Tamandua tetradactyla: one gene and its partners. The protein of the gene in region 3 purifies or fractionates together with the protein of the main gene of each other region. This does not show direct contact. Links are inferred from orthologs where the notes say so. Each region holds a gene or a part of one and is shown on either strand. Other genes may lie near its edges.

The links.
Region 1: the proteins of SSRP1 (region 3) and MMS22L purify together in Homo sapiens (affinity purification with mass spectrometry; 3 studies listed by BioGRID and IntAct, counting the BioPlex papers as one, with this or other methods). This does not show direct contact. The link is inferred for Tamandua tetradactyla from reciprocal best matches to the Homo sapiens genes SSRP1 and MMS22L.
Region 2: the proteins of SSRP1 (region 3) and MCM6 purify together in Homo sapiens (affinity purification with mass spectrometry; 4 studies listed by BioGRID and IntAct, with this or other methods). This does not show direct contact. The link is inferred for Tamandua tetradactyla from reciprocal best matches to the Homo sapiens genes SSRP1 and MCM6.
Region 4: the proteins of SSRP1 (region 3) and TRIM24 purify together in Homo sapiens (affinity purification with mass spectrometry; 3 studies listed by BioGRID and IntAct, with this or other methods). This does not show direct contact. The link is inferred for Tamandua tetradactyla from reciprocal best matches to the Homo sapiens genes SSRP1 and TRIM24.

The regions. Positions count from the first base shown.
Region 1 is NC_135331.1:154,686,183-154,693,882, reverse strand, and holds the start of MMS22L (protein MMS22-like), read left to right. Parts: upstream 1-4,687; 5' UTR 4,688-4,809; intron 4,810-4,939; exon of another isoform or gene 4,940-5,038; intron 5,039-5,427; 5' UTR 5,428-5,442; coding exon 5,443-5,603; intron 5,604-6,670; coding exon 6,671-6,796; intron 6,797-7,700. UniProt on the Homo sapiens protein: Component of the MMS22L-TONSL complex, a complex that promotes homologous recombination-mediated repair of double-strand breaks (DSBs) at stalled or collapsed replication forks.
Region 2 is NC_135329.1:105,540,099-105,547,765, reverse strand, and holds the start of MCM6 (DNA replication licensing factor MCM6), read left to right. Parts: upstream 1-4,653; 5' UTR 4,654-4,734; coding exon 4,735-4,841; intron 4,842-6,989; coding exon 6,990-7,136; intron 7,137-7,667. UniProt on the Homo sapiens protein: Acts as a component of the MCM2-7 complex (MCM complex) which is the replicative helicase essential for 'once per cell cycle' DNA replication initiation and elongation in eukaryotic cells.
Region 3 is NC_135335.1:20,253,513-20,260,945, forward strand, and holds the start of SSRP1 (FACT complex subunit SSRP1), read left to right. Parts: upstream 1-4,416; 5' UTR 4,417-4,564; intron 4,565-5,038; 5' UTR 5,039-5,159; coding exon 5,160-5,213; intron 5,214-5,628; coding exon 5,629-5,814; intron 5,815-6,390; coding exon 6,391-6,496; intron 6,497-6,747; coding exon 6,748-6,938; intron 6,939-7,433. Other genes in the region: P2RX3 (P2X purinoceptor 3), read right to left, coding at 2,409-2,527. UniProt on the Homo sapiens protein: Component of the FACT complex, a general chromatin factor that acts to reorganize nucleosomes. The FACT complex is involved in multiple processes that require DNA as a template such as mRNA elongation, DNA replication and DNA repair.
Region 4 is NC_135327.1:181,411,219-181,418,593, forward strand, and holds the start of TRIM24 (transcription intermediary factor 1-alpha), read left to right. Parts: upstream 1-4,371; coding exon 4,372-4,735; intron 4,736-7,375. UniProt on the Homo sapiens protein: Transcriptional coactivator that interacts with numerous nuclear receptors and coactivators and modulates the transcription of target genes.

The DNA of each region.
Region 1 (7,700 bases), on a different chromosome or scaffold from region 3:
GGAGTAATTTAAGCAAAATTGAAAACATTTGGTGATGGATTAAAAATGGGGCTGAGGGAGACAAGGCTGTCAAGGTGGACTACTGTTTAGCCTCAGGCTTTCAGTACGGGATTCATGTGATATCATTCATAAAGTTAGAAATACTGGTATGAGGATCTGGCTTGGAGATAGAATGATATAACCAATTTTAGCCATCAAGTTTAAGGTTCTTGAGACATCTATGAGAAGATACCAAGTAGGGAATTTTATTTATAGTCTGCAGCTCAGAGGACAGGTTCTGGATAGAGAGATAAATTTTAGTGTCATTTGTATTGAGTTAGTAACTGAAACTGTGGTTGTGAGAGAAGGTGGTGAGGGAAAAATACCGAGACCTGAGAAAAGCCTGGCTCCATTTGGTTGACCATAGAACTCATGGGGTTATTCAGATAGTCACGAGCAAGGTTTGTCTTGTTTCGCTTTTCTGTTTTATAGCATGTGAGCGGGTGTATTTGTTATCTATTGCTGTGTAGGAAATTACACTAAAGGTAGTGTTGAAACAACAAGTTTGAAACATTGAAACAATGTTTTTGTAGTTCAAGAATCTGGGTATGGCTTAGCTGGGTCCTTTGCTTTAAGACTTTCACAGTCTCCAATCAAGGTGTCAGCAGGGAATGCTCCTAAAGTTGTAATTGGCCATCTGTAAAGTCTGCCCAGGCCTAGCCATCACAAGTGTAGGCTTGGGGGTGGATATACCTTCCAAGCTCACTCATGTGGTCGTTGGTAGGATTCAGTTCCTTGAAGACTGTCAGACTGAGGATGGTAGAACGTCACCGGTTGTTGGCCAGAGTCCTACCTCACTTCCTTGCCTTATGAGCCTAATGCAGCTGCTAGCTTCATTAAAGCTAGCAAGTCTAGGAGGCAAGAGGAAGAGAGAGCCAGGGTGAGAGATAAAGAGAGTGCTAGCAAGATGAGAACTTATAGTCTTTTGTAACCTAATCATGGAAGAGACATTCCATCATATTTTGCTTTATTCTATTTATTAAAAGCAAGTCATTAGGTTCAGCCCACACACCAAAGGTGGAGGATTACAAACGGGCATTAATAACAGGTAGCAGAGATTATTGGGAGTTATTTTTGAAGTTGCCTGCCATAGTAGGCTTAGGGAAACAAGAAAAGGGAGAAGAGGAGATTGAAGGCGAAAAAGCAGAAGGGTAATTGCTAGCTTAAGCTTCTGGAGGTAGAAGGAGATGGAATAAGAGCACATACAGCAGGGAAAGATGCTTAAGATACAGAAAAACGGAGAGAATGAGGGTTAAAAATGGTATTTTTCTTTGGCACAGGTTTGCTTAAGGTTGAGATGTGTTGCATTGTTAATGACCTGGGACCCTGAAGAGTTGCATGAAGTTTCCTTTCATAATGTAGTAAGCTGCTCCTTCTCAATTAACTAAACCTCCACATAACTACCAAAGTACTTTTTTAAAGCATGGTATCTGTGCCAAGGAGTTAGGAGATCATTATCTGTACACAAAATTAGTGCAATAAAGTACTATGGGTCAACAGAAAGTCAGTTGAGGTGGGTTATATACACACTTAAGATAGATAGCCATAGAGATAACTTAATATTTTCAATAGCACAGGCCTAAAAGCCATAACTGAGTTTAGCTATCTCAGCGTACCCTCATGATGCCCAATCGGATAATAACTTCATTAGAATTGGATTTAGTAGTGGTCAGATTTTACTAAAATGTTAAATCCAATTCTAAGCTTAAGAGCAGTTACTAAAAATAAGTAAAGTGATCATGTGCGCCATGTTTCCATTAAGCTATAAGAAGACATGGTCTTAAATTTTAGAAAAGCTTTCAATTAAGAAGGTGATAAACTTCCTGAAACTGGGGGCTTTAAACCACTGGAATATATTATGTTCAGTTGGATTTGTAAAACGTTTCCCTCCTAAAGACATATGTATTAAATTGTTTGACTTTGAATCTGATAGATGACAACATAAGAATGAATCAAATAAATAAATGATTTGTGAATACATTTTAAACAAGTCAGAATGGGCTCATAATCATTAAACATTTAAATCCTATCGTGTGCTCACGACTCTTTCACCAAATAGCTGAATGTTATTGGAGAAAATCACAAAATCATGATGTCTGAACTCTACCTTTTTAACACAAACCTGATTCCCAGACATCCATACTACACTTTCCTGGTATGTCCACCTTTTTTTTTTACTCACCAGTGTGACTATTTTATACCTTTTATCTCTTCAAATCTCTAACAACTCTTTCCTCTCACTTCTAGTTGATGTGTCATAGAGAAAATAGAGGAAATAAAACAAGAACTACCTCAACTTCCTACCACCAATTCACCAACATTACCCATCTTTATCTGCATAATCTGCAATCCTGTACAATGAAAAAGTGTCCTGATTCATTTACTAGCCCTCTAAATATCTAAAAGTTTATAGTTTTTGCTTTCACATTTAGGTCCATGATCAGCTTTGAGTTAATTTTTGTAAGTGATGTCAAAGCTTATATTTTAGTTTATCAGTATTCGATTGTTCCAGAACATTTGTTGAAAAGACTCTTCTCCCATAGAATTACCTTGGCAGTTTTGCCGAAACTCGATATATGTTTTTACGGTTTCTTCCTGGACTCTCTATTCTTGTTCCAATTGACTATGTCTATCCTTATGCCAATAGCACATTTTATCGTTTTTTTCTGCGAGCTTCATCAGTTTTTGTCTTTCTTCTATGTTGTCCAATTTATTGGCATAAAGACGTTCATGATATTCCCTTATTATCCTTGATATTCCCTTATTATCCTTTTAATGTCTGTAGAATAAGTAGTGATAGCCCCTTTTTAATTTGTGATATTGGCTGCCTGTGTCTTCTATTTTTCTTGGTCTGGGTAAAGGGTTTATGATTTATACCGGTCTTTTCAAAGAACCAGCTTTTGTTTCTCCATTGTTCCTCTGTTCTTCATTCCATTGATCTCTGCTCTTATCACTATTTTCTCTATTTTGCTTTTTTCATTTTAATTTGCTGTTTTTTATTTCTAGTTTCTTAAGATGGACGTTTAGTGCCACCAGTTAATGTTACAAATTTTGATACTATATTTTCATTGTTAATTCAAAAGCTAAGAGAGACAGAAGCTCAGAGAGGAAGCCCCTGAAGTCAGAAGCTGGAAGCAATGAAACCCAGGTGAGAAAGGAGAGACCAGCAGACAAGCCATGTGCCTTTCCATGTGACAGTGTAGTTGAGGATGCTGGCAGCCTGTCTTTAGAGTCCAGGTATTGTCCTGTTGATGCCTTGATTTGGACACTTTAACAGCCTCAGAACTGTAAACTTGTAAGTTAATAAATGGATTGTAAAAAAAGCCAATCCATTTCTGGTACATTGTATTTCATCAGCGTTAACAAACTAAAACACCTGTCAAAGATCTTGACTGATAACGTGTTGCAGTACCACTTCTATACCAGCTTAAAAAATTTATAGAGAGCCTATTTTGGTTCTTTTCATCCCACTCATTGGATTCAACCAATTGACCATTTAACATCAGGTATTTAAAAAAGAAAGAGGGGACTATTTTTGGATGTTTTGACTAGAGGAAGGCATGATAATGACTATCTTTTGACCCCGTTCTCCCAAATTCCGGGCCGGGGCACAATATTCTCATTTCTAGGCATTATTCCCTCGGGATCTCTGTGGATGACACTATGTGTCATGTTAGAGACTCCATGTGGACTATAAATGAGCTGCAGAGGTCCCATCAAAGCCTCAGGTCTCATGGTACATCAATTAAACAGAGTAGATATAATATCCACTACAGCAGACCCAGATTGTGGTCAGAAAAGAGATCTCTCCTGGGATTTTTCCATTTCCCCAAATCCCAGCCTATTTGTCAGAAAATATGTGGTATTTGGTTTTAACAGAAGAAAGAGCTATGATTGGTTAGCTATGCAGGAACTGAACGCGGGAGAAACTCTACTGTGGAGAAACGGGCATTAGCAAATATTCAAATTACAGCAGGAGATTTGATTGAGAAATTATTGTTTTTCTTGAATTCAAGGTGGAGATATACTGAAATGGGTTATCGTTGGCTTAGATTGAACAGTCTCCCGGGTAGATTTTAAAGCCACTTAGAAAGATAAGAAAAAATTGGTAATGGGTTATCATTTTACAAAAGCGTGCTAAACCTAAACTTGTTTGTGCAGAGATGTCGCAAAGAAAGGGAACATTTTATATCGAAAGCAAGTCACCTGACCTAGTCAGTGTTTCCGAACACTGGACTAGCCACAATTTTGCACTCGCCTGGCTCACAATCCATTAGCAAAAGACACCGTTATCACAGCAAATGAAATGTCGGCACTAGGGCAGGAAGAAAAGCCTGCGCGCCTTCCACGTGTGAAAAAGTCCTCCTGGGGCCGCGTCCGAAGATCCTCCCGCTGACCCCCTAGATCCCACTCCGGTAGACCCGCTAGATTCCACCACCAGGGTCTTTGAATCAGTTTGGTTCGCCAGCTAGGCCCCGCCCACCTACAAACCCCACGCGCCAATCAGCAGTACAAAACAAAAGCGTAACGCGCTACCCAGGCTCCGGCCGCCAGACTCTCGCGAGAACTCGTGATAGGTCGGCGGTTCCCGCGCAGACCTCGCGAGAAGGCCACCAGCCAGGAGGGCGGGCTCCGCCGGGGACCCGCCTCCCTTGAGCGCGCGCGCGCCGCGGCGGGAATTTCGCGTGTTCCGGGTTGGGATTCCAAAGATTCCGGGACTGTGGTCGGGCCTGGCGGGGGGCAGATCCTGGAGCCTGGAAGTGTGGCCAGGTAGGACATGCGTCGTGGGCAGGAGTCGCCCCTGGGAGCTCGGCTGCCGCCGTGCGCGGCGCACGGCTTCCCTCTTGGCGGGACTAGTCCAGGGATTCGGGGAAGGGTGGAGCGTTGGCACCCGGCACTGCCGTGCTTTTCCCTGTTTCGAGCCTGCGAGGGAGCGCTCTGTGCGCCTGGGAGACGCTCGGTGCTGTTTTCCGGAACGTAGGCCAGGGCGCAGTTCGAGGTAGGATGGAGAGTTGAGTCTGTCCTGCAACCCTTTCTTCCCTCTTCACTCAGTCTCGGGCTGCAGGGTCTGACCTGGAAGGATAGATTTTAAGTCCCTACCAGAGCCGGTGGAGGTGTATTTTGTCTTCGGTCCCGACAGCCTTGATCTCGGAGAGGTGGGGGCGGGCAGGAAGCTTGCCGAGGACTTGGCTACCCCCGGGGGTCGTGGCGATTTTTTCTGTTGCGCCGGAGGGCACGTTTTCGCAGTTGCTTTTCAAGATTCTTAACTTCTTTGGGACCTTTCTGAAGTAACTCCCAACTTCTTGGCCCGCCCCACCTCTACCAATCTCTTAAAAACTTCTCTTTGGAGCCCCTAATGAAAATCACATTAAACCTCAAACATTTCAGGACATGAAGTAAATAATGGATAGCTGTACCCCTACGTCATCGTTCCTGACGGACAGCTTGGAGTTGGAACTGGGGAGAGAATGGTGCAAACCCCCTTGCTTTTCTTGCGATTTTGACAACAGAGAAGGAAGAAGTTTTTCTGGAGAGTCCTACCTTTCCAGCGGAGCTCTTAAGCGGTAGGTGAACAGAGGCTTTCTTTCATCGGATTATGAATCAGTTTGTTAGGAAATACTTAGTTGTGATATCAGATAATTAAACTTTAATTTTCATCAAGACGTGTTTTGTAAATCAGCTAAATATATCACACGGGTGCAGACTATAATTAGTTTTATGACTGGTTTTCTAGTTAGAGCATACCTAAAAGTATTTTACATTTTAAGAGTTTCCTTTGTAACTGATATCTCATCGCAACCTCACATTTGGTGCTACCTCATTTGGGCTAAGGAACTGGGCACTAATTTCCTTTTACTTAAAATATATTCTGAAGTGCCTGGGCTTTTTAAAATGGAATTTCCTTTTAAAGAATGAGATCATATTCTAAGGCTTCTCAGTAGTTTTTAAGTAACCCACACACATTTTTTGTTGCCCTAATTCTTTCTAACTTTATCTCTCTCTCTCTCTAAATATATATATATAAGTCATACAGGTGTAGTTATTTTAAACTTTCTAATAAATGGTCTGGTTCACAGAAATGTTGTTTTTCATTGCATTTGGTAGATATACACACGTAAAACTGTTGAAGTATTTTGAGTGTTCTTGAATATTTGATCAATTTCACTCAGAAAGGAAACCATTTTTGTTGATTTTATAGTTGTATTATTTGAGACCCTAAAAGAGATTACCTAACTTGATTGTGCTATTCACTAGGCATGGCTCAGAATAATATTTGCCTATTTTTTTAAAAATCAGTTTTGTCCTTTCAAAGAATGAAATTCTACAACAACGATGAAATTCCCACTAATGAAGACAGGCAAAAATATGTTCTCTAGGCTCCTTTTAAAATTATTCTCTCAGTTATTACTCTTTAGTTATACTTTTTAATCACTGTGTACTACTGAATTTTTAAAATAGTCTAGCTATAATAAACCTGAATCTGTAAGGTACCAAAGCCTTACATATTCCTGACTTTGTAACATCATTGCTGGTTATATATAACATGGATTCATTTAATGTCAAAAAGACATGCTATACTATGGTATTTAGTATACTTTTTATGGAACTTCAATCAGAATTTTCATTTCAGATTAATTTTGAATCTTGATCCTTTGCCAATTAATTTTGAAGAGGATGTAGTGGAAATATTTGGCATTCAGTGGGTTACGGAAACTGCATTAGTGAATTCATCAAGAGACCTCTTTAATTTATTCAGGTATGTTTTTTCTTTTTTCAAAACTACCTGAATGTAGATAATAGTTGATTTTATAACCTAAGTTGCTAGGTGGTTTTTAATACTGAAATTATTAAAGCACCAGTAGAGTTGCATTTGTTGTTCACCTTATTAATGACCTGTAATAATAATTACACAAGTTGATGAAGTAATAGTTTTAATGAGTTTCTTTTTTAGTGGTTTTCAAATCTGTCAATGTATATTTGACATCATGTATTGAAGGCAAATATTTAAGTCTTTGAATACTGTTGTAATTTTGGAAGAAGAGTAAAATACTTTTGCTCCTTAATAGCCATAGTCTTTCACCGTCTTTAGAGAATGAGCTCAAACTTTCTAAATGTATCTTTCAAACTGTGTAATAGGAATATGATTAATTCTCTATTTGAATATATTTAGCAAAAATTTTAATGAAAAATTTCAAATATACAATAAGTAGAATAGTTTAATGAACTTCCATATACATACCCATCTCTGTTATAATAAACATTTATAAAGGTTTTATTACATTTCCTATGTCTTTTCCTCCTTCTCTTCTTTTGATTTAAGTATTTTTAAGCAAATTTGAAGCGTTGTATCATACTTTGTATAATACTTTAGTATGCGTTTCTTAAAAATACGAACTTTTTTTTTACATAAACACTATTTCATCACAGTTAACAAAAGTAAAAATAATTCTGTTAATATTTAAAACCCAGTTCATGTTCAGATTTTTAGATGATATTTTGAAGTGGAGTCAATGTTGACGACAAATTATTATCCAAAAGCACATGAAGAATATATATGTATGTGGTATATTTAAATGAAAATGGAAAGGTGGAATGATTTCTCCTCCCATCCCATCCCATGAGACTTTGTGAAGAGACCTCACTGTGTCTGTACCATGCCA
Region 2 (7,667 bases), on a different chromosome or scaffold from region 3:
TAAGGTAATTAAATGTCTATACACCAGCAAAAAATAACAAATCACACCAGGAAAATTGAAGATATGGCCCAGTAAAAGGAACAAACCAACAATTCAAATGACATACAGGAGCTGAAACAATTAATTCAGAATATACGAACAGACATGGAAAACCTCATCAAAAACCAAATCAATGAATTGAGGGAGGATATAAAGAAGGCAAGGAATGAACAAAAAGAAGAAATCGAAAGTCCAAAAAAATAAATCACGGAATGGCTAAATGGTAATGAAAGGCACAGGAGAAGAGATGAAAAAAACAAAATCTACAATGGTAGGTTTTGAGAGGATTAGTGAACTGGAGGATGGAACATCTGAAATCTGACACGAAACAGAAACTATAGGAAAAAAGTGGAAAAATATGAGCAGGGACTCAGGGAATTGAATGACAATATGAGGTGCACAAATATACGTGTTGTGGGTGTCCCAGAAGGAGAAGAGAAGGGAAAAGGAGGTGAAAAACTAATGAAGGAAATTATCACTGAAAATTTCCCAACTCTTATGAAAGACTTAAAATTATAGATCCAAGAAGTACAGCGTACCCCAAACAGAATAGAGCCATATAGACGTACTCCAAGACACTTACTAATCAGAATGTCAGAGGTCAAAGAGAAAGAGAGGCTCTTGAAAGCAACAAGAGAAAAGCAATCCATCACATAAAAGGGAAACCCAATAAGACTATGCGTAGATTTCTCAGCAGAAACCATGGAGGTGAGAAGACAGTGGGATGATATATTTAAATTACTAAAAGAGAAAAACTGCCAACCAAGAATTCTATACCCAACAAAACTGCCCTTCAAAAAGGAGGGAGAAATTAAAACATTTTCAGACAAAAAATCACTGGAAGAATTTGTGACCAAGAGACCAGCTCTGCAAGAAATACCAAAGGGAGCACTAGAGACAGATACGAAAAGACAGAAGAGAGAGGTGTGGAGAAGAGTGTAAAAAGGAAGACTATAAGTAAAGGTAAAAAGAAGGAAAATTAGATATGACATATAAAATCCAAAAGGCAAAATGGTAGAAGAACGTACTACCTGTACAGCAATAACACTAAATGGTAATGGATTGAATTCCCCAATCAAAAGACATAGACTGGCAGAATGGATTAAAAAACAGGACTCATCTATATGCTGTCTACAGGAAATAAATCTTAGACCCAAGGATAAACCTAGGTTGAAAGTGAAAGTTTAGGAAAAGATATTTCATGCAAATAACAATCAAAAAAGAGCAGGAGTAGCTATACTAATACCCAACAAATTAGATTTCAAATGTAAAAATATTTATCAACTGGTATGATAAAGTATCAACGATCAGTATGGATGCAGGCCATTGAACTGATGCAGCGTCCAGGCAGGCATTGCTCCCTTACTCCCTGAATTGTGAGATCTTGGGGTGGAGGGAGCCTGGAGAGTAACTGGATTGGTGGGTGGCAGAGTTGCATGGTGGGTGGGGCTGGAGGAGGCTCAGGACAGTAGCGATTTACCAAATAGTAAGAAACTATTTCAATATTGCATTTTAATATGTACAGCTGTATTCTAGTTTGCTAGCTGCCGGATTGCAATATACCAGAAATGGAATAGCTTTTAAAAAGGGGAATTTAATAAGTTGCTAGCTTACAGTTCTAAGGCCAAGAAAATGCCCCAATTAAAACAAGTTTATAGAAACGTCCAATCTAAGGCATCCAGGGAAAGATACCTTGATTCAAGAAGGCCAATGAAGTTCACGGTTTCTCTCTCAAGTAGAAAGACACATGGTGAACACAGAGTTTCTCTCTTGACTGAAAGGGCATGTGGCGAACATGGTTAGGGTTTCTCTCTCATCTGGAAAGGCATGTGGCGAACATGGCATTATCTGCTAGCTTTCTCTCCTGGCTTCCTATTTCATGGAGCTCCCCAGGAAGCATTTTCCTTCTTTATCTCCAAAGGTTGCTGGCTGGTGGGCATTCTGCTTCTCATGGCTCTGTCGTTCTGCTCTCTCAGAATCTCTCACATTCTCCAAAATGTTTCCTCTTTTATAGGATTCTAGTAAACTAATTAATACCCACCCAAATGGGTGGAGACATGTTTCCACCTAATCCATCTTAACAATCACTCTTAATTGAGTCAAACATTCCAGGGAGTTGATCTAATTACAGTTTCAAACATACAGTACTGAATAGGGATTAGAAGAAACAGCTGCCTTTACAAAATGGGATTAGGATAAAACATGATTTTTCTAGGGTACATATATCCTTTCAAATTGGCACAAGCTGTACAAGTGCATACTGGTTGACTGTTACCCTGGCTATCTGGTCCTTCTCAAAGACTGCCTTCTGAAGACACAGGTTTCAGCTTTCTCAGCTTTGCTTGGACAGTTATCATCCATGCTTTCCCTTTCTGTCCTCTAAAATTTGATTGCTCTCTGTCTATTGTTGTCTTCTATTCCTCTCTCTATCGATACTCGATTTTATTCATTTACTGTCATTTTAGGATTGCAAAGGAAACAGAAAAAGACCTCTTCAATCTGTCATATTAATCAGAAGGCCCCAATTTATATTTCAGAAAGTTTAGTTTGGCTGCAGAGTGGAGAGTGGATTGAGCTGGGAATAAGTCTAAGTAAACAGACTAGAGAGGTAACTGAATTCCTAGGAATATGCATGAAAATGGATGGTAGCCTAAATAAAATGATTAATAATGGGGATGAAGAGAAGTGGACAGACTTAAGATACTTAGGAGGCCTGTGTTCTCCAGCCACAAAATTTTTCCAAGGGTCTTCTTCCCTCCTCCCCTACCTCCACCTCCCACTCAGTTCCCACTAGCAATTCCAACTCTTCATGAGGTAAATCCAGATGACCTCTGATGTTTCCTCACATGCTGCTGGCAGTGGAAACTGTTATCAGAACCACCCAAAGACAGTGGCATGGTAAGCTCAAGCAGACAACAATATATATATATATATATATATGAGGCATACGGCAAACCCTGAGAAAAGGAATGACATTACCTTCTAGGGAAGAGGTTCTGGGGGTGTGACCAAGTCCCAGAGAGGGAGCTACAGCTTCAATTCTTGTGAGGCAATGGAGGCTTATCTTGAAGCAAAAGGCTTTATCTGAGTTTCTCAGAGAGCTTAGCTGTTAAGGTCAGCCTGGAACTCTGTCTGCTCTCTCATGTTTGGTCTTTTCCTTCTGTACATGGGATCTGAGTTCTCAGAAATCTACCAAGGATAGACGAGGAAGAGAGGAAAGGAAAAATGGGAAAGAAAAAAGTGAGGCCTTTTGAGGATGAGGCAGAATCTGGTTATGAAATTGCTCCTGGATACCTTGTGGACATATTTTGGGGCACTGAGATTGTGAATATCTAAGAAGCAGTTGAGTTTGAGGTTCCTACAAAACATACAGGTGAGGATGTCCATTAAGTAGGTGGATATACAGTCTGGAGCTGGTAAAGGCTGAGAGATACAGGGCCTCAAGCTCCCATCACCTTGCAATGAGGTAATACACACAATCACAGATAAACTACAGTGCACAACAAGTAGCTTTTTTTTGCTAAAAACTGTAAATATCTTGAGAAGAGTATATTTGTGTATGTGTGTTAAAACAATTACTAAATTTTAAAAAGAGTGGGGAGGGGACCTGGGGTAAATAAGTACACTGACTTAATCCACGCTTATTATTCTACTTATTGAAAAAAAGCAGAAATAAAACATCCAAGATTTAGAAAACAACAATTTCTATAACTGTCATCCCTCTATCTGGCATTTAAAAATCTTTCTAATATAATGAAAGCGTCAAAATACGGAAGTGGTCCAGATTTCTCTTAATCTCTTGGAGGCCCAGGAAAAAGTGGCGGCTGCGGATACACATTTGTAAATCATCAGCGTAAAGAAGCCAACAGTGCTTCTTCAAAGAATTTTCGCGGGATTCGCTAAAGAAGAGGAGCCTGCAAAAGAGGTAACGGGGAACAGCTGAAGAGATAGAAAACCCAAGGGAAATCAAAGAGTCGGAGAAAGACGGCCACATAGGGCAAACCCACGAGCGCACAAAATAACAGTTCGTTTTAAGAAAGGGATCAACCAACGGTGTCAAATACTTAGCTCATATTCCCCAGTCAGCATTAATCTAAGTAACTGCCCGCCATTGCTCACTGTTGCACAGCTCAGCTCTGCTAGTTTCTGTTTTCACTATTTTTTTTCTTCTACAGGCTTTTATCCGGCGGTTTACAGCTTATTTCCTCCAAGCAGATAGCTCAAGTAGGGCTTTGAATCTTACTTATAGTTCTCTCCCACAGAGTTTTATTTCTACTGCTCAATTAATATCAATAGAATGATCTGAGGAACATCTGACCAGCCACCCAGACAAAGATCCCAGCTTTTAACCAGCTCAAGAAGCCGAACACCGCAAGGACGCAGACACATTGCAGACACATTGCGCAGGCGCAAAGACAAAGCCACCCACCCCCCACCGCTTTCTCCAGAAGGTATTTGCATTTGGCGCGAAATCCCCGCTTAGTGGGCGGGACAGCAGGAGAACTTACCTCTCATTGGACAGGCTTGGCGCGAAATTTCAGAGCTCCTGCGCCACGATTGGCTCCCGCCGTCCCGGTCCGGCAAGGGGGCGGGGAGAAAGCTGCGCCAGCGCGCGCAAAGCGAATGCGCCTGGGGAGAGGTAGCTCGTCGCGAAGTGTGTTAGTGTTGGCGGCAGCTCCAAAGTGCTAGGCAGCCATGGACCTCGCCGCGGCCGCAGAGCCGGGCGCTGGCTCCCAGCACCTGGAAGTCCGCGACGAGGTGGCTGAGAAGTGCCAGAAACTGTTCCTGGACTTCTTGGAAGAGTAAGTCGGCAGGCCTGGGTCTTCCCCGGCCGCCAGCCCCGGGGGCGCCCTCCCTGAAGTAACTTCCCCTCGCGGCCCTCTCCGCTCCGGGCTCGGGCGGGGCGCGCGCCTCGGGGGCTGAGGAATCGCGCGCCCTGGAGGAGCGCCCTCTGCCCGGTTTTAAGCTCCGAGCCAGGTCCTCAAGAGGACAGGGCTGGTTTAAAAGAAAAATAATTTTGAGTGTTTATTCAAACTTGTTGATCTGCATGTCCTGCGCTAAGCATTTGCCTTATATGGTTTAATTATCGCTACAACCCTCGAAGGCCGGTAGTAGTTTAGCCCCTTGTTAACGGATGCAAAAACTGAGCTTCGATGAGGTTAACCAAACAGGCCACACGACTCGGCCTGGTCGAGTGAAAGGCAGAAGTGGCATTTGGGTCCTGGCAGAACTCTGATTGAACAGCCAGCCAGAAGACTGGTGGGGCCACCGGGATTCCTGGCCACCACTGGAGATGAAAGTACCAGAGCGAAAGTGTATCTCTCTGCTGTGACCAAGTTTGACACATGCTCGATGGGGGGGTGAGCTCCGCCCTGCTGAAAGGCAGCTGAACACACCCATCCTTCTGCCTGATTTCCTTCCTTCACCCCTCCCACTCTTCCAGGTTTCTGGTTTCCCATAACCCCATTCCCCTGATTTTTTTCCCATTGTTCGCTTTCTTGCATAGTAAAGATACATCACTACTCTCCCTAAGAGTCTCGACTGACCTGCCTCCAGGACTTCGGAATATTGAAATTCTGACATACTTAAACTTAAGATTTATATATCCATACTTTTAGCACTGTTATTCTCTGCCTGACAGCTACTCGCTCAACCCTGTATCTCCTTTGTGAAGCCCTCATGACCCAGGCACCATTCATACCTTTTTCCCTAATGTTCCCAGGGTTACCATTTCCTGTATGTTTCTGGTAATGTGGCTACTTTTATTTACCTGTCAGCCGCTCATTTTGAGTGTGAATCCCATCCTCAGCACCACCTACCCAACACATCATAAATGTCCTCAATAAATATTTTGTTTCAGCGAATAGTTTAGGTTCCTTCACTTTACTGTTAAGTACTGGGGATGGCAATGAACAAGACAAATAGTCCTTGTACTTTGTTGAGAAAAAATGTTTGCCTCCCTCTTGAAAAGCCAACTTTGATTCCCCATCACCATAGAATAAAGTCCAAATTCTTCATAGTGCCCCTTCCGGTTTTATTTCCCACAGTCAGCTCCAGTTGTCATTCAAATTCCTCCCATATCATCTCCGACATTGCAAAATAATTGCAAGCATAGAGAGTCTATCCAGGACCCCTGTTTTTCTTTGGAATTTTTATCATCTTCCAAGCCTGAATTCCAGTGACACTTTTAGATATGTAGAAAGCCTTTCTTTTAGGCAGACTTAGTTTATACTAACTGCATTTTTTGTACCTCTCTTTAGTAAGAAGACTTTCTTCCCTTTCTCAGTTGTTTATATATCTGTCTTGAGTGTAAACTCTAGGGCAGAAATAGCACTCATTTTCAGCTTCAGGTGCCTCTGGCAACATGTTCAATAAATATTTAAGAGAGTTAGAACATCCTATATTTGAAGATGGAATTCTATCATAATTAATCTGCATATTATGTTAAAAAAAAGTAGGCAACTCTTGAAAAAAATTTCACCAGCTCTTTTGTGTGCATGTATGTGTATTTCAATTTCTCTGAGGTCTTAGACAGTGAAACACTTTGTTTTTATTCTGATTTTATATTAGTTTTCAAATTCCCCAGGAAATTTAGGCCTTTGGGCTTTTACGTGGATATCCTGATTGAACATTTTATTAGTAATAGTTAATAATTATAGAATAACACATTCCAGTCAAGAAATTTATGTTAAAACCCAAAGACCTAATTTTCCTATGTTTATAGGCATTCTCTCATTTAATCTTAGCAGCTGTCTCATGAAATGGGTGATCTTTCCTTATCTGTTAAAAAATGAACATTTTCTTATTTAAAGGAAGCAGGTTTAGAGGAATAAATAACTTCTGAGTCTAAAGCTGGATGATATTTAAGCAATACACTGAACTATCAGCATTCAGATTCTTTCTACTGCTCCCCTTTTCCTTAATTTAATCTGATGTGTATATATCTGCAGGTTCCAGAGCAGCGATGGAGAAATAAAGTACTTGCAGTTAGCAGAGGAGCTGATTCGTCCTGAGAGAAACACATTGATTGTGAGTTTTGTGGACCTGGAGCAATTTAACCAGCAACTTTCCACCACCATACAGGAGGAGTTCTATAGGTATGGGTGTATTAATCTCCTTTACTTTGAATAGAGGTGAAGTTCTGGGAAGCCAGCTCTTCCTGGTCTGGAAGTATTCACTTGTGCGGCAAGGAAGCAGCTGTCAGTTACTTGCCTCCTCAGAAAGGGGGGTCCTTTTGGTATTATCTGTGGTCATTTTAGAACTATTCTGGACTTCATCTTGGCCTTTGTGGAGCTGAATGTTTTTTTCACATAAATTGAAAACCTTTTCTTTCTATGTAGTTTTCCCAGGTTTTAAGAGGATTGCTTACTTTGTGTCAGACATTTAGTACTGTTGCTGTCATTCCTTTGATCCTGCCTCCTACCCCACTCCACACACATCCTCACCCTAGTAGGTATTTTGAAAAAGAACAGTATGTGTTTGTGTGGGTCCTTCTTACATCAGGGCTATCTTTGTAGCAGTGTCATTACTGTACCTCCCATTCCCTTAAACTTTAAATTTGTTTTAAATAAAAATGAGGTGTATATTGTAGAAAATAAAGAATAGTAGAGGGGACAATCATCTGTACA
Region 3 (7,433 bases):
ATCAGCCACAGTCATTTCTCCAGCCCAAAAGTCTTGTCTTTCTCTCTCTCACACACGTAAACATACGCGCATGCTAGAGGCTTCGGTAGCTTTCCATTACTTATTCTTAGGTAAAAATGAAAGCTCCTCGAGGGTGTCTGAGCTCTGGCCCCTGAATATGTCCCCAACCCTAACTCACAACCCCGGCCTTTGCCCCTCTACTCCAGCCATAATGACCTTCTCTTCTACCTCCTATTTGCCAAGCTTTTCCCTGCACAGAGAACCCCTACCTTCCCTTCTTACCCTCTGGGTTCTTCTTATAGATCTTGACATACATGGACTCTCTCCAGAAAATCTTCCTTTAGTTACCCAATCAGGTCAAATACCTCCATGTTAGGCTCTCCTGTCACTGTGAACCTCTTCTTTAAACCTGAGCCACAGTTGAGATTTTACATTTGTTTGCAGATATTATTTGCTTAGCATCAGTCTCTTGCATTATACTGTAAGCTCCTCGAGGACAAGGGCTTTATCTGCCTTGCCCACCATTTGAAGCTGGGGGTGTACAATGCCTGGCATGAAGACCCGCTCAATAAATATTTGCTAAACGGATGACAATGGATTCATGTAGTTACGACGGGGCATGTGCACGGAGATGGGGTTTGGGGCAGGGGGGTGGGCTGCAGAGTGAGCTGATGTAATTGGAAGGAGCTGCTCCTTGGGGAACTGTCAGACTGAGATAGATGGGGTTGGGTATCAAAATGCCAAAGAGCCTTTCCTGCTCGGGGGCAGGCTGGGCTCCAGCCCTGAGCATGGGATTGTGATAAGAGACACAAGGGCGGTGGGGGCAGAAGGGGCTGCTGGTCCAGGAGCCAGCTGTCTGTGTCCTCCATCCATCAATGTCCCTCCTGGGACCAACGGAGCCAGGCGAGGCTGGAATGTGCCGAGGCAGCTTTTGCATTCACTGAGACCAACATACCATCTGTGATTATAAACAATCACAGCATCGAATACACACGTGAACATGGAACATTCAAAAACCAACTCTGAGCCAAGCCCTGGAGGTGGAGACATGCAACATTTGCAAACATTTTATTTCAAAAAACTCAAAGTTGGGAGGGAACCTCAAGGCCTTTTACTTCTTTCTGAAAGCTCGACTCTCTTCTCTAACATACTCGAGGCGCTCCTGATGTACAGCCTCGCCTATAACACCCACATAATCAAAGCCCACTGGCTCTCACAAGCACATGGAGCAAAAAATCGCTTAAGACACACTTTTCTGCCCACATCCTCACACTTGCCCCGGCTCATGTGCACACAGAATGTCTTCTTTGACTGCCTGAACTAACTCATGTCACGACTCCATGTCTCTTACACACATGCACACACACACACACACACACACACACACACACACACACACCCATTGTCTCGAGGAAAAGCATGAGAGTAGAGACCTGCACAAAGAAAACCATCAACGGTTCTGCTTGTATTCCCTGGTGCCCACCAGTTTATGGAAACGATCACAAGAAGAAAAGAACCTGTGTTTTCTCTCCTGATCATTGTCTGCTCCATGGCTATTTGTGTGTGTGTGTGTGTGCACGCGTGTGGTGGTGGTGGGGTGCCTCCAAGAAGTGGGGGTCTAGAGGGACTTTAGTGGGAGTTTTGAGACCTTACTGGCTCTTAAGCAAATCCCAGGATGGGGTATGTAGCACAAATTTGGGTATAAGCAGGGAAATTTGTGCTTTCTGACAAAGGGGAGCGTCTCTGGATTCTTGAGTGGGGGAGGGGGTCCCCAGACTTTTTTTTCAGAAGAAAAACTCTTCAGTAACTCTTTCCTCAGTGTAATTTGCCCAAGAGCAAGGGCTTCTCCCCTTTCCAAGCTCTCTCCCATCTCCCCGGGGCCAGAAGGGGAATCCCTCATTCTAAAATAAATCCTCTCGGCTGACCCTCCTTCCCACCCCATCACCAACCTGATCAACCTGTCACTATGTCCTTTGTTTCTGTGGCTTCCCATCCCCCTTCCCAGGCTCCCTTGTCTTTTGAGACCCCAAAGAGTTGACTGAGAGCAGTAGAAGGTGGGGTCCGCCTATTTCCTGGGGTGGGTGTGGGGGGGATGAGGAACAGGAGATGGAGCACCTGAGACCTCTCCTGGTGGGGGCAGTGCCAGGGTAAGGACCCCATACCTCAGAGGGTATGTCTTGGAATTGCTCTCCAACTCTGGAGCATTTACTGGGGAAAAAACAAACAAACTCGGCTGGGGACCAGTCCCTGGGTGTGGACAGCCGGGGCTGGTCCTTTAGGACAGTTCCACTGAAGGCACTGCTCCACAAGAGGAGAGGCCAGCAGGCTGGATCATGGCATGGTGCGGGGTGAAGGGGGCGAGACCAGGCGACCCTCCCCTCCTAGGACCGAAAGGGCCACAGACTCACCCCACAAAGTAGGAGATGATCAGAAGCTGAACCGCCCGATTGATGATCCCAATGGTCCAGCTCTTCACAACCACCGACTTGGTGGTTTCATAGGTGAAGAAGTCTGAGATGCAGTTCATGGTGAGAATGCCCAGGGGCCACCCAGAGGGGGCCTAACAGCAGCCTCAAGAGGGAGAGGTCCTCAGCCCAGGGAGACAGAGATGGAGGCCTGGAGATGAGGGGTGGGGGGGATGGTGCAGCTTAGAGGGGTGCGGGGAGCAGGGACCCCGTTCCTTTAAGCTAGGCAACTCTAGCTCAGGGTCCAGGCTCTCTCTGCACTTGACGTTCTAGGCTGCCAAGAGCCCAGGGCCAGGGCGGGGGAGACCCCCTTTTTGTTTGTCTCCACCCCACTCCCCTGTGATGTCACGGCAGGGGTGGGGTCTCTAATCCTGGGCTCCTGATTGCCTGGGATGCAGCTGGTTAGGTCCCTCTGGGATTCGTGCTTTATCTGCACTCTGTCTACCATCTCTGTTCTGCTCTCTTACGCTGCATCTTTGTCCTAGCTCAGCAGCTGCTTCATGCTCTCCCAAGTCTCTTACTATGCCCTATCCTCCAGCCACCTAACACCCTGCCTGAATGGAGCAACCCCTTCATTTCTGAGTGTACGCCTAAAACCACCCAATTCAGCAGCCATACCCACTCCCCTCCCCCAACAGCATGGGTTAGGGGGAGGGGTTTATTGCATATTTCCCTGGGAGGGGGTGAGTAGAGAGTCACATATTTCTAACCTCAGTTGACAGTGGCTGAAACTCTACCTGCAGTAAAGCAGTTATCACATTTTTTTTTTAAAAAAACTATCGGTTTAGTTATTTGGATCATTTGTTAGATTACGTGCCCCTTGACAGCTGGGGCTGTTTTCATCTTGTTCACTGGTTTCTCAAAGCCTGGAAGTGTGTTGGGTTAATAATAAGTCTTCAGTACGTGTTGATTGAATTCAATGAACTTATGTTGCTAGGTTGTGTTGCAACAGCCATTTCCCAGAGATTGAAGCCATGAGATCAGGGGGCCATGGTGTATTTCTGTTGTCCTTTATCACAGCAAGCTGGTGTAACTGAAGTCAGATTGTCAGGGAAATCTTGGGTTTAAATATTCTACCCTAATGTCTTCATATAAGACACTTCATCAGCTATTCTGAATGTGGAGTAATCGCGATTCAAGAAGACCTGGGTTCTGGCCTCCAGGTTTCTCATTGAGATCCTGGGCAAGTCCCCTGAAGGTCCCACTTTTCTCATCTGCAGAAGGAGTTGGATTAGAGCAACATTTCTTCTCGGTCTGGCCTTCCCTGGTTTTGTAAGACGCACGGTGCGGCTCGGTTTCCGCGATCCCAGGCTGATGGGATTTCAAATCCTTTCCGGCTCTACGGTGCATGTGACACCAGCGCTGGAACTTGACACCGCCGATTGCCAGCCTCTTCCGGGGGGGCCTATCAATTGCCGTTTTGAGTGCGGCTTTTGGGAGCAGACAGTGAAATTTCAAAAAGAATCCAGCCCTACTGGACCGGGGATACAGCCAGAGAGCCATATGGTCACAACACCAACGCCCGCATTCTCTGTGCAGCCAGTGGGAGGGGTCGTTTCTCGCCACAGCTCTTTAAATCTTTTCCTTCAGGTTCCAGAGACTCCTCTCCGCTCCAAAGCAACCACTCTCGTGCAGTGGAAGGACGTGCAACACCGCAGCACGGACACACGCATACGTGCAAAGTCTTGATAAAACAAAACTATACAATTTCCCTTTAGAATCCAGTCCTCCCCTGAAGAAGGGGCTGTAACTTCCTAAAGAAGCACTTCCCTCCTGGAGTCAGATTCCATTCCCCTGCCACCCCCCCGGGGTAAGCGGACTTCAGCCCCCAAACGACTCCCTCGGGTCCTCCAGAGCGGCTGACACTCTATGGGACCGCCTCACAGGCGGTCCGGGCTCGCGCTTCTCTAGCCCGCTCGTCCTCTCTATGGTCTAAGCGCGACTTCCGGTGGCGGGACGCGGGGCCGCGCACGCGGGAAAGCTTCCCCTGCGTCCCTCTTCCAGCCCCCAGGTTCCCATCCCCGTTTCCCCCTCCCCCTGCGCCCCCCAGCGCGCCCACCGCCCGTGCCGGGGCCCTCGTGAGGTGGCCGCCCGAGGAGGTAGGTGGCCGGCGTCCCCGTCCCCCAGGGAGGCGGGCTCAGCTCCCCCGCGGCACGCTCGAGATGGACCGTTCCGTATTCGAATCCGCGGGCAGTGGGCGAATCCATTTTGGGGGGAGGGGGAGACGCGGGTCTGGGGCCGCGCCGCGCGGGTCGCTCGGGGAGGGAAACTCTGCAGCCTGAGCTGGGTTGGGGGCCCGGGCAAGGTGTGGGGTCCTGGCAAGCCCTGGAGTTCCGCTGCTCGTTGCCATGGCGCCCAGGGGAGCGCTTCGAGCTAGGGTCGGGTTGGGGTGGAAGCGCTCCTTCGGGCCTCGGTTCTCGGGCCGGGCCTGGCTCCTTTACCCCGCAGAGGCTGCCTGAAGCTTCCCAGGCAGGGGAGATCCTGAGACGTCCCAGGGCCAGTCGCGGGTGCCACCTCGGCCCAGCCCCGAGCACAGTGATGTCTTTCGTGCTGGTCTGTCCTTTTGAATTTAGGTTCCCAACTTGCGGAACAACTGGACGCGCACCGAGGAGTTGGGACTCAGCTCCCAGTTTTTTTTTGGCTCCCCCTTGTGCAGCCTAGGGCTTCGTGCCCAGGCCAGCGGGCCAGATCAGCATGGCAGAGACCCTGGAATTCAACGACATCTATCAGGAGGTGAAAGGCTCAATGGTGAGAAAGGCTTGAACTTTTAATACGGTTGGAAGTGGGGTAGAGAGTTTGTGCTTTAACAAGGGCTTGCTTTGATAATGTGGTTAGTATGGAAGAGGAGGATTCAAAATATTATGTGTGTCTGGTGCTTCTCCAACGAGGAACGACACTGAGAGGGACTCCTTGGATCTCAGGGTTAGAAAGGATTTTATAGGTTGTTCGGTTCCAAATCCCGCTGTTAGAGATGAGGCAGTTAAGGACCCACAGGGCTTTGGGTGCCAGAGTGGAGATGAGATCCATTCTTCCTATTTGTCTGTTCTCACTGGCCCTGACGACTTCTGGTGTTGCTCCTGCATCGATAAAGGGCATTGGGTGGGACCATGCATGGCACCCAGTGTGTACCATCTCCACCTCTCTGGGCCTGTTTTCCCGACAGAACGATGGCCGGCTGAGGTTGAGCCGCCAAGGCATTATCTTCAAGAACAGCAAGACGGGCAAAGTGGACAATATCCAGGCTGGGGAGCTGACGGAAGGCATCTGGCGTCGTGTAGCTCTAGGCCATGGACTTAAACTGCTCACAAAGAACGGCCACGTCTACAAATACGATGGCTTCCGAGAATCGGTGAGATGTCCTAATGCAAATAGCCTCCTTTTTTGTGTTATCTTGTATATTTTTGAACTTTTAGAGAGAGTAGGGACTTTCCGATAGTATTGCTATTTTGAGCTTATTAGAGCTGGGCCATTGAGGCCGTGGAACAGTCAGGGTTCTGTTATGCTGTTCAAGTCTGGTGAGTTTCTTTAAGATTTCCTGCTGTTTTTATTTAGATGATTTCTACCTGTTTTCTTAATCCAGGTTGAGAAGCTTGGCTTGATGCTTTTGTTTTATTTTTCCACTTGGAGTTGCTTCAGATTGGAAGACTTTCTTTATCTTAATTGCCACTTCCTTTAAAGTAACACCTATACAAAGTTTAAGAAGCTAGTACTATTAAGTCTCATAAACAGGAATGTCAGTTCATTACTTTACTCTTCCTCTAGCCTGCGATCCATTCCCTGTATACAATCTCTTTAAACTACTTTACAGCTGAGATTAAGTTAGCATGGATTTTTGACACAGGGGGTACCGGGACAGTCTCTTGTGAATACGTAACCCTAGCCTATTCAAGGCTGTGTTGAGGTTCTCTTTCTCCTCTATCCACAGGAGTTTGAGAAACTCTCTGATTTCTTCAAAACTCACTATCGCCTTGAGCTAATGGAGAAGGACCTCTGTGTGAAGGGCTGGAACTGGGGGACGGTGAAGTTTGGCGGTGAGTTTTAGGAGAGACTGGTTTATAGGAGAAGGTAGGATGAAGGGTTTTGGTCTTTGACTCGTTTTGCTCTCTGTCCTGTGCCACTGTCTCCGATTTCTGGTCAGTCCATGCATTCATCCTGCATTTTATGGATATCGCCAGTGTGCACAAAATAACCCCAGTTCCCCTTCCTCACGGAACTTACGGTCTGGTGGAAATGCTCTTTGTTCAGGGGAGGAGCATGTGGCTTAATAATGCCTTCCCTATAGGGCAGCTGCTTTCCTTTGACATCGGCGACCAGCCTGTCTTCGAGATACCCCTCAGCAATGTGTCCCAGTGCACCACGGGCAAGAACGAGGTGACACTGGAATTCCACCAGAACGACGATGCAGAGGTCTCGCTCATGGAGGTGCGCTTCTACGTGCCTCCCACTCAGGAGGATGGCGTGGACCCCGTTGAGGTGAGGCCGCCCCCACTTGCCTTGGGAGCAGATGGTAGTGAGCAGACTTGGGCTGACCTGGGGACAGGAGCTTGCCTGATGACCAGGGTGTGCTTTTTTTTAGTTTTTAAAAAAAATATAACAAACAAACGCAAACATTCTTAATTTAAGATTATTCCGTTCTACACATATAATCAGTAATTCACAATATTATCACATGGTTGCATATTCATCATCATGATCATTTCTTAGAACATTTACATCGATTCAGAAAAAGCAATAAAAAGACAACAGAAAAAAATTCATCCATACCATACCCCTTACTCCTCCCTTTCATTGATCACTAGCATTTCAACCTAAATTTATTTTAACATTTGTCCCCTCTATTATTTATTTTTATTCCATATATTTTATTCGTCTGTTGATAAGGTAGACAAAAGGAGCATCAGACACAAAGTTTTCACAATCACACAGTCACATTGTGAAAGCTGTATCATTATACAATCATCATCAAGA
Region 4 (7,375 bases), on a different chromosome or scaffold from region 3:
GTCAAGGTGATACTTTTTCTCCCAAGTAGTGTGGCAATCTGGGACTAACTGCCAGTGATCCTTGGCTCCTCTGTCATATGGCAAGGCACAGGGCAGCATTTCCTGGTCTTTTCCTTTCTCTCACATTCAGTTTCAGCTTCTTGCTTCCTATGACTTCTTTCTCTCTTTGTCTGAATTTTATTCTCTTGTAAAGGGCTCCAGTAATAAGAATAACACCCATCTTGGCTGAGGTGGGTCACACGTTAATTGAAGTAGCCTCACCAAAATGTCCTACTTACAATGGGTTCACACCCACAGGAATGGGTTAACTATAAAAACACATTCTTCTGGTACATACCGTTTCAAACCACCACAAGTCTCTTCAACAAATGGGAAAATCAGATCTCCAGTCACAAAAGAATGAAGGTAGTCTCCTACCTTACATCATATACAAAAATCAACTCAAAATAGTTCTGGCTCTTATATTTAGTTTTTTTTTATCTATCAAACTCTTAGAAGAAAACATAGGAAGACATCTTCAGGACCTTGAGTTAGGCAATGGTTTCTTAGACTTTTCACCCAAAGCATAAGCAACAAAAGAAAAAATAGATAAATGAGACCTCACTAAAAATTAAAAACCTTTGTGCATTAAAGGACTTTATCATGAAAATAAAATAACAACTTACACAATGGGAGAAAATATTTGGAAACCACATAGCTGATAAGGGTTTAATATATCGAATATATAAAGAAATCCTATAACTCAACAACAACAACAAAACACCCAATTAAAAAGTGGGCAAAAGACATGAATAAATATTTATCAAAAGAAGATATACAAATTATCAAAAGCACTTGAAAAGATGCTCAATATCAGTAGCCATTAAGGAAATACAAATCAAAACCACAATTAGATGCAGTTTCACACCCACTAGAAAGTCTATTATTTAAAAAACAAAAGATAAGTACTGGAGAGGATAGAGAAATAGATATACTTATTCATGGCTGGTGGAATAGTAAAATGGTACATTGGCTGTGGAAGAAAGTTTGAGGTTCCTAGAAAGCTAAGTATAGAATAACCATATGATACAGCAATCCCACTTTTAGGTATATACTCAAAAGAATTGAAAGTAGGGACTTTTTGCACACCAATATACATAGTGGCATTATTCACAATTGTCAAAAGATGGAAGCAACGCAGTTTCCATCAACTGCTGAATGGATAAACAAAATATATATACACATGTACTGGTTTGAATCTGTTATGTGCCCCAGAAAAGCTTATGTTCTTTTAATCCATCTTTGTGGATGCAGACCTATTGTGGGTTGGAACTTTTGCTTTGGTTGTTTACACGGAGATGTGACCCACCCAATTCTAATCCTTTTCTGGAGTACTTTGAGAGAGGATAAAAGACACTAAAAGCCCAGAGAGCTTAGAGAGAAAACTCCCAGAGACATTTGGAGACAGTCATTGAAACCAGAACCAGGAGAGAAGGACCAGCAGATGTCGCCATCTGCCTTCCCATGTGACAGGAACCCCAGAGGCCAGCAGCCTTTCCCCAGAAAAAGTATCTTCCTGACCATTCCAAAATGGTTCCCTCTTAAAGGACTGCAGTAAGCAACCCCACCTTGAATGGGCAAAGTCAGATCTTCATCTAATCAAAAGGTCACACCCACAATTGGGTGTATCACATCTCCATGTAAGTAATCCAATTAAAGTTTCTGCCCCACAATATTACATCAGGATTAAAAGAGATTTGACTGCTCCCACAAAAATTGGGTCAGGATAAATTCCTTAGGGCAGCTTCAAGCCAAGGGAGGTCAAATGTCTGGGTCAAGGCAAGTGGATGGCAGCTCCACATGCCCTACTTTGATCAGAGATGAGGGACGCTTGTGCTGCCCAAGTATTCAGTTTTTATATACCCACAGGGTGATTGAGCAAGTATTCATCAGGCTACCTTTGTGCCCTGGCAAGCAGCTGCAGTTGGTTGAGATTCAAGATCACCTAGCTGCCTGTGGTCTCTTGCAAAATAGAACATGCCATACACCTGCATGCAAACAAGCAAAAATGGAAACATACTGAACACCTGCATGCAAACAATTGAGAGAGGAAAAGGAGATATTCACTAGTATCTAACTCTCTTGCTCTTTTCACCGACTCCTTTCTCTTCCAACTCAAACAACTCTTATCTCCTCTCTCAGAGCTGGTGATAGTGATGGTGGCACAGTTTAGAAAATGGCAAGTATTCCAATTTGTTTGAGGCAAGATATGGGAAAGCAGTAAGGATGAGTCTGGAAGTTCAGTTAGGTTGTGTCCTAGTTTCCAGGATGCTATGATAAATACCACAGGATGGGTTAGCTTAAACAATGGGAATTTATTATCACACAGTTTGGGGGCTAGAAGACTTGCTTCTCCTGGGGTCAGTAGTATTCTGCCAGGCTGGCAATCCTTGGGGCTCCTTGGTTTTCCCATCACATAGTGATGTCTTCTCCTTTCTCTTCCAACTTCTGCCTGCCTTCTGGCTCATCCCTGTGGCTTTCTCTATTTCTTTTGTTCATCAAGGACATCAGTAAACTTGATTAAGACCAATACTAATTCGGTTGGCCACACTTTAACTACAAATAACATTTTCAAAAGTCTTATTTATGATTAGCGTGCACCCAAAGGAATGGGATTATAGTTAACACTTTTTTTTCCCTAGCCTACGTAACACAATCTTCTGTAAGTAATAAGGGCTAATAATCATAGAGGGACTGATAAGTGAGCAAATAAATTTGGGATAGGTCTCTGTACTGTAAGGATGGTTCTGGATCACCTTATAATGATATATAAATATTGAATGTCATTAAGTAGAACTTCATGGTGGAGTAATTTATGGATACTAGATTTGAAAATCTGCTTAGGAAAGAGAGTGGTAGGTGGAGAATAACTGGGAAATTGTTAGGTCTTGTGGGAAGACCGATTACTAGAATTTGCGTTCACCCATTGCCATTCAATGTATTCTTCCAGGATCATATCCTAACAAAGCCTTTCTTGATCCCATGCCACTCTCCTCCAACGTCCAGAACTCTTCATTTATACTAAAAAATATAATTAAAAAAGGCACTTAGGAGCAATCTTTTTTTACTTTAATTTCTTACATTACTTGGTACATAGGCTTGTTTTACCACCCTGTTCCTTATACGCGTGGACATTTTTTAGTGAAAATGTGCGTTCTGTTACAGGATGGAGAAGAAGAATAATATTGAAGTCATGAATTAGTTGGACATCAGTTTTGAGATTTATTTTTATTTTTTTAAAGAAAAATGATATTTTGTTCAATAAAGTTTTTTTGCAATCATTGGATTTTAATTCATAAAATCCCTGGAAAATGCACTATAAAGATTCATTTAAAAAGCAAATCATTGACATTAAAATGTAATCATTTTCATTGGAGAAATCATCAAAAAATTTCCCATTGGCAAGAAAAAGTCCCCGTTTAATCTTCATACTCAAATATTCATCATACTGGGTAAATTCAGGTGGTAAAAATCAATGCTGCCTTAGTGGTTTTTTTACACAATAATTTTCCACCCTTCTTGTTATTCTCTTGTTTGTTCTTCACTGCCTTCACTTCATTCTCCTTTTACCCTAACAGGAACCCCATTTCCAGTAGTAGTAAAATAAGAGTTTTTGAAGCAGTTAATTAATGGCATTGAGTAGATACGATGGAGCTCCGCCCCGTAGGAGGGGCAAACACAAGCAGATCGAATTAAGTGGTTCGTCGTTAACAAACGAACCCTTAATCTTTTCAGGAGAGCTAAACATCCACAAAGGCCCAATCAGAGGCCGCAGTTCTCGGAGTTCGAGGGGGCGGAGCTGGACACTTGCCCTCCCACCTCCCAGCCTCCCGCGGGGGCCGAGTGAGCCTCCCGGGCTTCGCCCGGCCCCACCCCTTCGCCAGGCACGGCGGCTATTGGCCGGTGCGCTCTTTGCGGTCGCCTCAGTTGCTGGGAGAGGGAGGGCGGGGGCGGGAACTGAGGTAGGCAGTGGGGTAGGAGAGAAAGGCGGGTAGGCAGCGGAGCGTGAGGGAGGAGGCTAGGGTGGGCCGGGCGGATTCCGCGAGCACCGCGGCGGTTGGCGAAACGGAGGGGGCGCAGCCTCCCGGTGCGAGAAACGGTCCCGGCTGACAGATCCCGGTCTTCCGGCTGCGCCACCCGGGAGGCGGATCCCTGGGGCCTGAGGAAGCTTCTTCGGCCCGGCTCCTCCCCTCCTCCCTCTCGCTCCTGAGGGTCTACAGAGCGGTCTCTGAAGAGAAGGAGGAGGTCGTCGGGGGCGGCGGCGGCGGCGGCTGCGGGCGGAGACCGCGCTCGCCCTTCTTCGGCGGCGGCGGCGGCGGCGGGGGCAGGACAATGGAGGTGGCTGTGGAGAAGGCGGCGGCCCCGGCGGCGGCGGCAGCTTCGGCGGCCACGGGGGGGCCCTCGGCAGCGCCGAGCGGAGAGAACGAGGCCGAGAGTCGGCAGGGCCCCGACTCGGAGCGCGGGGGCGAGGCGGCCCGGCTCAACCTGTTGGACACTTGCGCCGTGTGCCACCAGAACATCCAGAGCCGGGCGCCCAAGCTGCTTCCTTGCCTGCATTCCTTCTGCCAGCGCTGCTTGCCGGTGCCCCAGCGCTTCCTTATGCTCCCTGCACCGATGCTGGGCTCGGCTGAGACTCCGCCGCCCGTTCCCGCCTCTGGCTCGCCAGTCAGTGGCACATCGCCGTTCGTCACCCAAGGTGAGAGCTGACCGTGGACGCGTGGGGGAGCCCGGGCCGGGGAGGCGGGCGCCTCTGTGCGCCGGGACCCGCTGTCACGTCGCCGCCGCCGGGGAGCTCGGCGGGGGAGGGGCGAGGAGGAGGGTCTGTGTTGGCGGCGGTGACATGGTGGGCCAGCGCGCTCTGCAGCGTTCCGCGCGTTCCGCGAGCAACTTCCGTGGGTGCTGAGGACTTGGCAAAGCTGCTGCTCCTTTTGCTTCTGAGCATTCTCCTCCAGGGTTGGGTGGCCCATGTGACCCGGACTTTTGTAAACCTCTCGAACTGTGCTGTAGTCTGTATCTCGGGTTCTTTGCTGCTGCCCGCTGTATACCGAAAGCTTTGTCCAGGTCCATCTGATTCTAATCATCTCCTATATACCCACGTTATTTGAACTGGAGTGGGGAAGGGAGGAATAAGGATTAAGTGATGCGGTCTTTATTTGATGATTGATTGTAGGTTGGATGCCGTCTATTTCCTGTTTTGTGTATTTTGGGTTCGTTACCTTAATGCGTGTCTAATTGTCTTCTCTCCCCTCTGATGGGACAAAGGAACCAAGAGACGGTGTTTTGTCTTTCCCTTTCAAAGGTTTTATTTTTAGAAGGTAAACGGTGAAGAAAAATAGAACAATCCAAAGTGATTCGGGGCAGAGATTCTCCAGTATTTTTAAGACAGCAGCTGGAAATGCTTAAGTTACAGTTCTTTTTGTGGTGTTTGTTACTGTATAATGAGACTTTTGACAGGTAGTTCCCGTTGCTCGTGTTAACAGGTTTGAAACATTTAAAGTAAGTTATAAGCATAGTAGTTACTTGTTTCTAATAGAATGCTTGAAGTTTTTAAAATTTTAATATTGAAAATACTTGAGCACTTTTTAAAAATACCAAATAACTGGAAATGGGGAATTATTTTAAATATGCACTTCTTAGAGAGAATAGTTGAATTAATTTGAGAAAATGCTAATTAAATAATTGAGGTCAAGTGGTATATAAAATTGAGGCTCCAAAGAGATTGTGGTCTTAGAGTCTAATTAATTAAATATCAGGAGCTGTGCTAGTTGTGAGAAACACCATGGATCTCTGTTTCTGCACGTCATGTCTGTGAGATACGCCCTTTGTTTCATCTTGTTTTTTTTTCAAGGATATTTGGAAAATAGAGAATAGTGGCACATATGTTTATTGTCCACATAAAAGACTGAGGTTCCCTAAGCATAGGGTTCCTCTTCTGTAACACAACTGCTGCCTGTGCAGGTGTCAACCCGCCCTCTTCAGTTACCCTCTGGGAACTGGGGCTGGGGCAACCAGTGCAAAAAATGCTCATGTTTGGCTTATGCTATTGTTTTAAGTAATAAACTGTTCTTCATTACTTCTGCCAGCATTCTACCGTGATAGGCTATTTCATTAACTTGCAAGTAGGGTGCAATTACAGATCCTTCACACTAATTTGCTCTTCAACATTGAAGTGGCCCACCTCTTGAAAAGTTAGTACAGGTTAAAGTTAAATCTTAGTTCTTAACTTTTAGATACATTTTAAGGTTTCTTTTATTTAAACTTTAAGTGGGAAAATAGTCTGGTAACCAATTATGATCTGAGATTTGCATCACTTTAGAATTAAGATTTATTGTGTGCCCGGCAGTGACATTTAGACCTGCAGAATGAGAATATGGGTTATAAAAGCTCTGATGCTTGATTCTGAGACAGGTTTGCAAATTTAGACTTCTCAAAATAGTCTACATAATTCTAATCTCCAAATATTTTTTATCTTTGTGTTTGTATTGAAAGCAAGAGTTCAAGGAAAGTAGTTAAATTGAGAGATACTATTTTTATTATGTACTCTAGTGGAAGACTAAGAAAAAGGTCTTTAATAAATTATATTTTAAAAGACACCTCTTAAAAAGGGTTGGTGTTATCTTCAATGAATTAAAAAATGTTATCCTGATCTTGCTGACTTGAGTATTTTTCTCTTTCTCCTTGCAAACAGATTTTAATACTAGCTGAAGCAAAAGTTGAGGTGATGTATTTCATAACTAAATAAATGGGGTTCATTTGATCATTTCTACTCTTCATTATCCTGAACAACTTGTGGATTCAAGGCATTGTGAGTTAAAACTACAATACCTACAGAGACTAAGCACAAAATTGAGATGGTGAACAATGAGCCTGGGGGGAAGGTAATAGGAAAAGATGGAGAGTGAAAAGGCAGCAAAATGTACTTAGCTCAGCAGTAGAGAACAGGACCAATGTTGAAGGATATATATGTATGTATGTATTATTTTTTTAAGTGAGAAGTCTGTGTGTGTGTGTGTGTGTGTAAAATTTCTCTAGTATTAGGTATTTGTAGATAATTAAAGAAAATGTATAGATATAGGTCCGTACTGTAGGCCAAACAAAACAGCTTTTGTTGCAGCCCCTTACCATGTTGGAGTTTGTACTCTTCCTGTTTAGATTTAGATACAGATTTTCAAACTCTAGTTCTAGTAGAATCACCTTGTATTCTTGTTAAAAGTTTACATTTTCAGTCCCCTCTCCACAGGGTCTAATTCTACTTAATTTGGAATAGTTTAATATTTCTAGAGTATAATATTAAAACTTGGTTTTCTTTATAATTCAATCAGTATTGTTCCAGAAT